2 linked regions of the Oryzias latipes genome follow. The protein of the gene in region 1 purifies or fractionates together with the protein of each later gene. This does not show direct contact. Links are inferred from orthologs where the notes say so. Each region holds a gene or a part of one and is shown on either strand. Other genes may lie near its edges.

Region 1 (4,973 bases):
ATTCCAGCTACTGCTTCTTCGTCCTGGTGGTGGACATGACCTACATGGTCTACTTCAACTTCTTCGCTTGCGTGCTCGCACCTCTGCTCATCATGTTCCTCATCTACGCCCAGATCTTCCTCACGGTGAAGCAGCAGATGAGGCGCATCGCGACTGAGAAAGGTGAAGGATGGGAGCGACAGGGCAGGACGGCAGCCACCATGCGCAAGGAGATGAAGATGGCCACGTCGCTCTTCCTCGTTCTTTTTCTCTTCACAATCTGCTGGATTCCGCTCCATGTGATCAACTGCTTCCTCCTGCTTTGCCCAAAGTGCCCCGTTCCGCTGGAGCTGCTGCTCACCACCATCATCCTGTCCCACGCCAACTCTGCTGTGAACCCCTTCCTGTATGCATACACCATGACGGCTTTCAGGGACGCCTTTAAGGCCATTTTTCTGTGCTGCAGGTCGATGGGAGAGGCAGAGATTTTAAGTGGAAACAACAGAGGAGATGAGAGAACTTCTAGACCAAACCAAGTCTGTGAGAGCTGAGTCAAAGCTCTTAGTCAAACTTTTATATATATATATATATATATATATATATATATATATATATATATATATATATATATATATATATATATATATATATATATATATATAGTTTTTGTTACTCCTCACCCCTCAGTTTTTACAGCAGGAAGCCTCTTCTTCAGCTCCTCCTTGTCTTCTGCCCGCAGCACATTGAATCCCTTCAGCTGAGCAGCGCTGTAATCAGGTTTGAAAGCCAGCTCCTCTCTGCGGCTCACAAAACATGCAGTGTGGTACCAGCGGTCGATCAGGCCCAGCTGAGGCTTCTCTGCATCCACCACTTTCTTAGACACACGAATCTGATCCTGGAGGAGAGGTCAGAGGTCACAGGCGTGCTTTCCGTTAATGAACTGTTTAAACGAAGCTGCAGCAAACCTTTTCTATTTTCTGCTGACATCCTTTGCACGTGCTGCGGTTTGATTTGGCGTACTCCACCGCAAAGTCGTTCAGCGTCTTTTCTCCTTTAGCCGCACCACCAGAGTTTCCCTTTCCTGCAAGATGGAGACCTCAATTTACCCCGCTGTGCTTTAAGTCAGAATTTTCAACAACCTACAAAAAGTAAACAAAAGCGACTTTCCGATGACTAACATTCACCACGCTGATAAACGTCAATTCATTTCCCGTGTGCACAAACAGCTCAGACAAGCACAGACCTGTTCCGGCCACTCCACCACTTTCTATGGCTTTTTTGACAGCTTCCTGGTCCGCCCAGCGGAGATCCGAAAACCCGCCGACATCGGCCGTGGACTGCACCGAGGCTCGCTGCCAGAAGCAGGAGAAGTGATGCCAGTGAGGGACCTTCCCGTCGAACATGGGGGACTGCGGGACACAGAGTAAACATAGGCGTGAACACATTCAGCTGCAGAGTTATAGTTTTCAGTCTGTCTGTATCTGCCGGGTTTGGATGATTCTGGAAAAAAATGATGGGTTTGCTGCTCATATCAGATCATCTGAAAGCTCCAGTGTAGTTTGGTGGTGAATTGAACAAGATAGTTGAAAAGTTGAACAAAGAACAGACAAAAAACATTTTTATGAGACGAGTAAAGGATGTAAAATAATTTAGCAATACCGTAATATTTTTTGAAGGTGAAATGGGAGGAAAAAACTAACCCTTTGAAAAAAATAATTGTACTATTGTCGCCATGTCCTGCTCCTTTTAAAAATGACTTTTCTCAATTTTTCTGTACAGTTTAAGAAAAATAAGAGGCTTTTCAAATTATCTTTAACATTTTAGCTGTAGTGACTCGCCAAAACAAAAGCGCAATTTTGTTTTTATTTAAATCATAAAAAATACCTTCAAATAAAAACTTGAACATCTTTCTAATTCCACAAACAAATACAAACTGTAATAAAAGTTTTGTTTATATATGTGTTTAATTATTATTTTTACATTTTATTCCTTACGTTTAGATTTAAATTGCTCGCCTTAAATTAAACATTTTAACTGTTTATTTAATAATATCAATAACCATCAATTGATCAGTCTGAAGGATGGGAAATTTACAAATATAAATCTGAATACAAATGATTTAAATATATATATATATATATATATATATATATATTTTTTTTTTTTTAAAGTTTAGTTGGTGCCAATTTTTACTCTGTGCTTTTGATATAAAATTTTTGACAATAAAAGCAATCAGTCTAGATATGATCTATTTTTTTTTTATAAATACCTGTGATTGATATTTACATTTTTCATCCTAATTTTTAAATTTGCATTAGAAATTAGTTTTATACAATTTACTGGATTATAGATAATAATTTTTTTACCTGCATATTAATTTACTTGAATGTCAACGTATTTTTCCAAAAATATAAATTCTACTTGCATTAATTGCTTGTAGAATAATAATTAATTATGCAAAGTTTAGTATTTCAAATCCATCTGCTGAAACGGAAGCCTGTGGTAGACAAAATACTAAATGAATAAATAAAAGGAAAAAGCGAATGAAGTAAAGAAAGTAGTGAGCGGTACACGTTCCCCCGAAAGACAAGCGATAGAATCACCAAGACTGAGTCAGACTGAGAGGCAGCAGTGATTTTTCCTCACATTTCTGCTTGAATGCCGGAAAGTGCATTTATTTGGAGCATCTCTGCGGCTCTTTGTGCGGAAGATTTAGCAGCCATAAATGCTAACGAGGGCCCAAACCAGTCCAGACGAAACCGGAACTACTCAGGCCTATATATCACATTTTCAAAAACACACTTTTATTTTTTTTTTACATCTGCTGAAGCTGCTTGGTAAACAAGTGAGTCTGTAGGAATAATTCCGCTCCCGGGTGTTTCCTTGGACCGCCGCTGCTTACCTGCACCACGATGGCCATCCTCAGCGAGTCCTTCGCGATTTTCTCCTTGCATTTCTTGCACGAAGCCTGGCCGCTTTTGGCGTACTCTGCTCGGAACAGCTTGTCATTCTGGGAGTCGGCCATAGCTTCCCTTTATCCTTAAAAAGCTGAACCGAAGACGACAAAGTTTCTCCACCAGAGCACGAGGAGCAACAACAGGGACAACGCGAAGAGCAGCGAGCAAGATCCAGTAAAGAGGGCTTACTCTGACTCTTTTTTGTCAAACCTCCGATACAAGCGTTAGTTGCCAATGGACGCTGAACCTGGGCGCATGTCCACAAATATCTGATAGATGCGGGCATATTTATCCAGATAGCTACAGAAATCACAGCTAACCGAACCTAAGAAACGGGGTTACATACTTCCATTCCTTCAGCATATCTTTCAAAACATCTTTGCATGCAGAGCCTGTAGAATGGAAGTTTATGTTTTTTGTTGTTGTTATGAAAATCATATTTATTGTTTAAGTTATCCATACTCACAAGCTCTTATTTAGAAATTTAGAAAACAGCCGGCTTCTGATATTCCTTGGACATCATTAAAAGAAAATGACAATTGGCTTTTCTGCAGGAAGCTTCTTTTCTTTCTGCTTTCATTTACTTACTACCATTCTACCTTTTCTTTCGTTTTCTTTTATCTATCTACCTATCTATCTACCTATCTATCTATCTATCTATCTATCTATCTATCTATCTATCTATCTATCTATCTATCTATCTATCTATCTATCTATCTATCTATCTATCTATCTATCTATCTATCTATCTATCTATCTATCTATCTATCTATCTATCTATCTATCTATCTATCTATCTATCTATCTATCTATCTATCTATCTATCTATCTATCTATCTATCTATCTATCTATCTATCTATCCATCCATCCATCCATCCATCCATCCATCCATCCATCCATATCTATATATCTAATTTTCAGAAAGTAAATAGTTTAAAGTAAATTAGACAAAAAAGTAAGACGTACAAGAAGAAATATGATTTTGTGAAGATCTCTTGGTATGTAAATCACTTTTTTCATTGAAAAAAATCAGATGGACAACATAATTATTATCCTATAACTGTTGGAATAAACTGTCAATCGTGGAAATAAATCAAATATTACATTTTTTGTGTGCATGTATACTTCTACTTTTTGTTACAAGTTTTTCTTCATAATGCAACTTCTTCTGTATGTTTATGTTTTTAAGTCTGACCTTAATAAGAAGAGCTAGGCTATTGTTTTCGTATTATTATCCTTAGATGTTTTTTAGAACAATGGTAATTTTTTTGTTCAGTTTTGTCGATTGGAAGAATTAAAGAAAGAACTTAAGATTTGATCAACTGAAATATATTTATTTATAAATTTATTTAAAAAAACAAAAACGAAATATTATTATTTATGTATATTTATTTGTCCTCTTGGTCATTCCTCAGGAGCCACTCAACCGCATAAACAACACTCCTCTAAAATATGTTCAACAAAAAGTATTCAAACTTGAAATGTTTCATAAAAAAATGTCAAGCGATCCATTTTTCACAATAGACGATATTTGGATACCTCACAGAGTACCCGCGCTCGCTTCAGTCTAAAACAATCGAATGAAGAGAAGTCGATCCTTGCAGTCTGAAAAGAAAGTAAATCCTTCACTTTCAAAATTATAGGTTTCCATTCCATGTAATGGGTACGTTTAACCAATAAAACTTAAATTGTATGACTAGTGTGATAAAAGTAGAATGCAATAAGTATTAAATCGTTTTTTAAATTATTTTAAGTATCAAAAACAGACAGAAAATGTGTTTATTTGATGGACGGCAATCATACAATTAAACATTTCTGTAAAAAATGTATAAAAGCATGGTATACATGTAAAATGAACAGCACATGATGTCTAAAACACCAACACGGTTGCATTTATAGAGTTCGTATGGAAGATACAGACAAAAACCAACTCATGTGTGATGAAATAGAACAGGGGTCTGCAACCTGTGGCTCCAGAGCCACATGCTGCTCTTTTATCCCTTCATTGTGGTTCTTTTGCTTTGAAGAAAAATGCT
Region 2 (4,286 bases), on another chromosome or scaffold:
ATCTTGCAGGAGGAGTGGGCATCAACCTCACTGCTGCTGACACGGTCATTTTTGTGGACAGTGACTTCAATCCACAGAATGACCTGCAGGCGGCGGCACGGTGCCATAGGATTGGCCAAAACAGGTAACATGGAAACACGTTTTTAAAAGCAAAACAAAAAACCTGTGACAGCTAGATGTCAGACTTGTCAAAAAAGAGTCTTTATTGAGAACCGAGGAGATCAGAAATTGAACCATCAACCCTTTAACAGGAAGTCATTTTAATTTTAGTTGCAAATCTGCTCTTTTCATGTAAATAACCACATTAGTTTAAGCTTTTAAAAGACCCACTCTGATGAAGATGGTTTTTTTGGCATTTGTTCTGATGATGGAGGACATATCTTAGGAAACTTAAACTTAAAATTGCATTTTTAAGTATTTTTTTATTCAAATCGTTGTGTATCAGGAGCAGACAAAAAAATGTGTACCGTATTTTCCGGACTATAATTCACTCCGGAGTATAAGTCGCACCAGCCCAAAAATGCATTATAAAGTAGAAAAAACACAGAGAAGTCGCACTGGACTATAAGTCGCATTTTGACGAGAAATTTATTTGACAAAATCTGAGACCAAGAGCTAATAACTTGCACAACCTTATGACACAATCATAGCAGACTGTTTATCTCATAATTTCACAGTAATTCTTTCTCAAACTTATTTATTTATTCCTTTCATGAAGCATCATTGGCCAACTAATACTCTGTTTTCATCCTGTATTTGTAGAAACGGTTGTCATTTTTATCGCATTTCTGAATCTATGAAATCATTGGAAAATAGAATATTATGTTGTTAACCTTCAAGATCTTATTGTAAAAAAAGTTTGCTGATTCTCTGAGTCACTTAACATACTCTAAACACTTAACATACCTCATACATCAAATTGACCCAGGAACATCATCTCTGTTCCTCACAAATGAAAATAACAGGAGGGTTAACAATGTATTTATTTCATTTTATTTCTAATATAAGTCGCTGCGGAGTATAAGTCGCACCCCTTGCCAAACTATGAAAAAAAGGGCGACTTATAGTCCGGAAAATACGGTATTTATTTATGGGGGTGGGAGAGCACGTATACGCAGAGCTCTCAGCAATGGGGAGCAGAAGGGGGGCAGGCTGGCTCCACTCCAACAGTCCAGACGTTTTCAAAATAACGGCCGCTCTGCAGAAACTATGTCCTACAAAACAACAACTTTTGTTTTGGTTGAAAACGGCTTAATCATGATTTTAAAAAAAAACACTACAAATGCTTTGAAACTGGATCACAAGATGATCAGAGTGGATCTCTAAACTTCCCACAGGCCTGTGAAGCAGATCCGGCTCCTGGCTAGAGACACGGTGGAGGAGATCATGTACTCGCGCGCCGCGTCCAAGCTGCAGCTCACCAACACTGTCATTCAAGATGGACGTTTCTCTTTACTGGATCAAGCTCATTCAGCAGCCGCAGGCGTGCAGGTAAGTTCCCGTTTGCACGACGATCCGGTTTCTCCACAAGTCCTCGTGATCCGGCTTCCATGTCCCGTCCCTTCCAGTTAAGTGAAATCTTGAAGTTTGGGGTAGATAAGCTCCTGTCATCAGATGAAAGCTCGGTGCAGGATGTAAACCTCCAGAATATATTTGGGTCATCGCGAGGCGGTCAGTGGGTCGATGACGAGGACTTGAAGGCAGTTGCAGAAGAGGAAGAAGAGGAGGAAAGACCTGAATCTGACGAGCTGAGTATGTTCTTTTTACTTCAAAATATTTCTCTGTTTGACCTTCGACGAGCGGTTGTCTCCTCCTCTAGACCACATGTACATCTTTGAGGGCGTAGACTACAGTCGGGACCCAAGCTCCGAGGACCGGAAGATCTTTGACCGTTTGCTGGAGGAGCAGCTGGCTGAGATTCAGAAGGCTGTGGGGGAGGGACGAGCTCTGAGACACAAAGCTGGAGTGAGATTCTTAAACCAGTTTACAAACCTAAACTTAAGACACTAGAGAAATTCCCTCTCCACTCAAGTCTTTATTATCCTTATGGGAGATTTCAGGTCTGGACTTTGATCAATCTCTCTTTTTTTTTTTTTTTGGTGATACTTTTGATGTAGTTTCAGCCAAAAGTCAATTTTGATGTATTTTGTTCAAAGATCTTTTATGTTTTGTTTAGATGAGTTTTGGTTTTCTCCAAAAACTGTCCTGCATAGATATGTAGTTAAAAATGTTCTTCACTTTAACATTATTTGACACTGGAAAAGCCATCGTCCCTCCTGATAGTTACTTTATCAGAGCCTGGAGCTCATGAACACAAACGTGTTTCCCACAGATGCAGTAATGCAGATGCATATTTTTGTGATTCAATTCTGTAAAATAGAAAACTGACAATGAATGTCATTTATTCTGCATCCAAAGTTTCAAAATAGCCAAACCCCTATGTAATTAATGTAATTTTACTTATCTTTTTTAAATGGAATTTAATTGTTTTGTTTAATACTTTAATTTAATAACATTTAATACACTGTAAGTTAATGCATTTTAAGTTAAAAAAAATTTGAATTTAATGTAATTTTAATCAAATTTAGTTGACTTAGTTTAATTAGTTTTAATAATTGTAAAATAAATAATTAAATAAAATAAATATATATCAATTTCTTTAACTTCACCAATAAGGTTTTTGTTTTGGTTGTGATTGTTTACAGATATTTACAGGTATAAAATCTCACTCGTGTTCATTTGAAGAGCATTTCTCTCTCAAAGTGGAGTACATTCAAATGGAAGCGTTGCATGTTCTGTTGGTCTGTTTGTGTCAGGTCTCCCTCTCGGTGGCTGTTGGGATTCCGACGAGGAAGAGGAAACCTCTGAGTGAAGCGGAGCTGGAGCTCCGGAGGAAGAGGAGGGAGGACGCTGCAGCCAAAAGAGCAAAGCTTCAGGAGGACCTGAAAAGGAAGCAGCAGGCCAAAAAGTACCGCGCAAATGTGACCATTTTTCTGCTCATTGACTTCATCCATGTGAGTTTCACCCAAACCTTTTGCTTTTCTGTTTGTGCAGAATGGCATGGTGGGAGTCCTCTGGCTACAGGTCGCTTTGTCTGCCGCCTGTTGTGAGTGAAGAAGACGAGGATGAGGAGGATGGCAGCAGCTCTTGCTCCATGGATTCAAACAGTGTGGATATCTGCTACGTTCTTGGAGATGTGACCCACCCACACGCTGCTAAAGGAGATGCGATCATCATCCATTGTGTTGGTAAGCGCTGCACCCATGGCAACACACCTTTTTGCTTGTCAGACTTCTCTGACAGACATCCCCCCCATGTCTCTCTGACGCCATGACTTGTGTTAGATGACTCAGGCCGATGGGGCAGAGGAGGCGTCTTTACGGCGCTGGAGGTGAGATCAGACGAGCCACGGAAACGCTATGAGCTGGCCGGCAAGATGAAAGGTGACGGGCAACATCAACTCCGTGAAACACCTGAACCTGCAGTGGAACGCCACCGCTAAAGCACGAAAATGTGGCTTTCAGATTTGGAGCTGGGGAGCGTTCTGCTCTTCCCCATTGATGACAAACAATCCAGACCGGACGGCCAAGATCAGGCAGGTTCTGCTCAGTGGCCGGGAGCGTCCTCCTGCTTGAAAGTTTGATCACTTTTAGTAGCTTTTTATTTTTTTACTTGTGTGAGATCCGGCTCTGCTGAGTGTGTGAGACAGCTGCCATCTGATAAGACAGGAACCTGTATTCATTTCCTTTCTGTCACCTCAGTTGGCGCTTATTGTGGCACAGCGACGAGACAAGGCCCACAACTTGTCTGGGATCCTCTTAACGGCTCTGGATGAAGGCCTGAAGAAGATCTATGTGGCGGCCAGGAGGAAAAAGGGTAATGTATCAAGTGAAGAAGCACCATCTTCTAAAGGGATTCTGCTTTAAATGTGGCATAAATGCTGTTTGATTAGCAAACACAGCAGAATTAACCAAAAATTAGTCTTTTTTCTTTATTTTTTACAAAGATCAGAAACTCGAAACACAAGAATATAAAAGTCAGAAAAATCTGGATTTAAAATGGGGGTCTTGGTGTGGGGACGGCCGGGCATTCTCCCTCTTTTTACATTCCATCATCCACCTCAGTAGAATATGAACACTCACCTGAGCACAGGTGTCCGCTCCCCTTTGGACAAAAGCTACGCGTGACTGAATGAAATGCCTTACATGTGACGGTTTGTGTACAAATGTGTGCATGAACTGTAGTTGTACCGTCTACATGTTGACATGTTTGGATGGGAAGATCTG

Evidence for each region. The genes of interacting proteins can lie anywhere in the genome.
Region 2: the proteins of parp1 (region 1) and chd1l purify together in Homo sapiens (affinity purification with mass spectrometry; 7 studies listed by BioGRID and IntAct, with this or other methods). This does not show direct contact. The link is inferred for Oryzias latipes from reciprocal best matches to the Homo sapiens genes PARP1 and CHD1L.

What each region holds. Positions count from the first base shown.
Region 1 is NC_019882.2:7,703,745-7,708,717, reverse strand, and holds the start of parp1 (poly [ADP-ribose] polymerase 1), read right to left. Parts: upstream 3,115-4,973; 5' UTR 3,005-3,114; coding exon 2,882-3,004; intron 1,389-2,881; coding exon 1,223-1,388; intron 1,061-1,222; coding exon 945-1,060; intron 875-944; coding exon 660-874; intron 1-659. UniProt on the Homo sapiens protein: Poly-ADP-ribosyltransferase that mediates poly-ADP-ribosylation of proteins and plays a key role in DNA repair.
Region 2 is NC_019862.2:6,462,218-6,466,503, forward strand, and holds part of chd1l (chromodomain-helicase-DNA-binding protein 1-like), read left to right. Parts: intron 1-9; coding exon 10-124; intron 125-1,337; coding exon 1,338-1,491; intron 1,492-1,568; coding exon 1,569-1,752; intron 1,753-1,819; coding exon 1,820-1,965; intron 1,966-2,816; coding exon 2,817-2,968; intron 2,969-3,054; coding exon 3,055-3,248; intron 3,249-3,344; coding exon 3,345-3,443; intron 3,444-3,524; coding exon 3,525-3,595; intron 3,596-3,761; coding exon 3,762-3,876; intron 3,877-4,286. UniProt on the Homo sapiens protein: ATP-dependent chromatin remodeler that mediates chromatin-remodeling following DNA damage.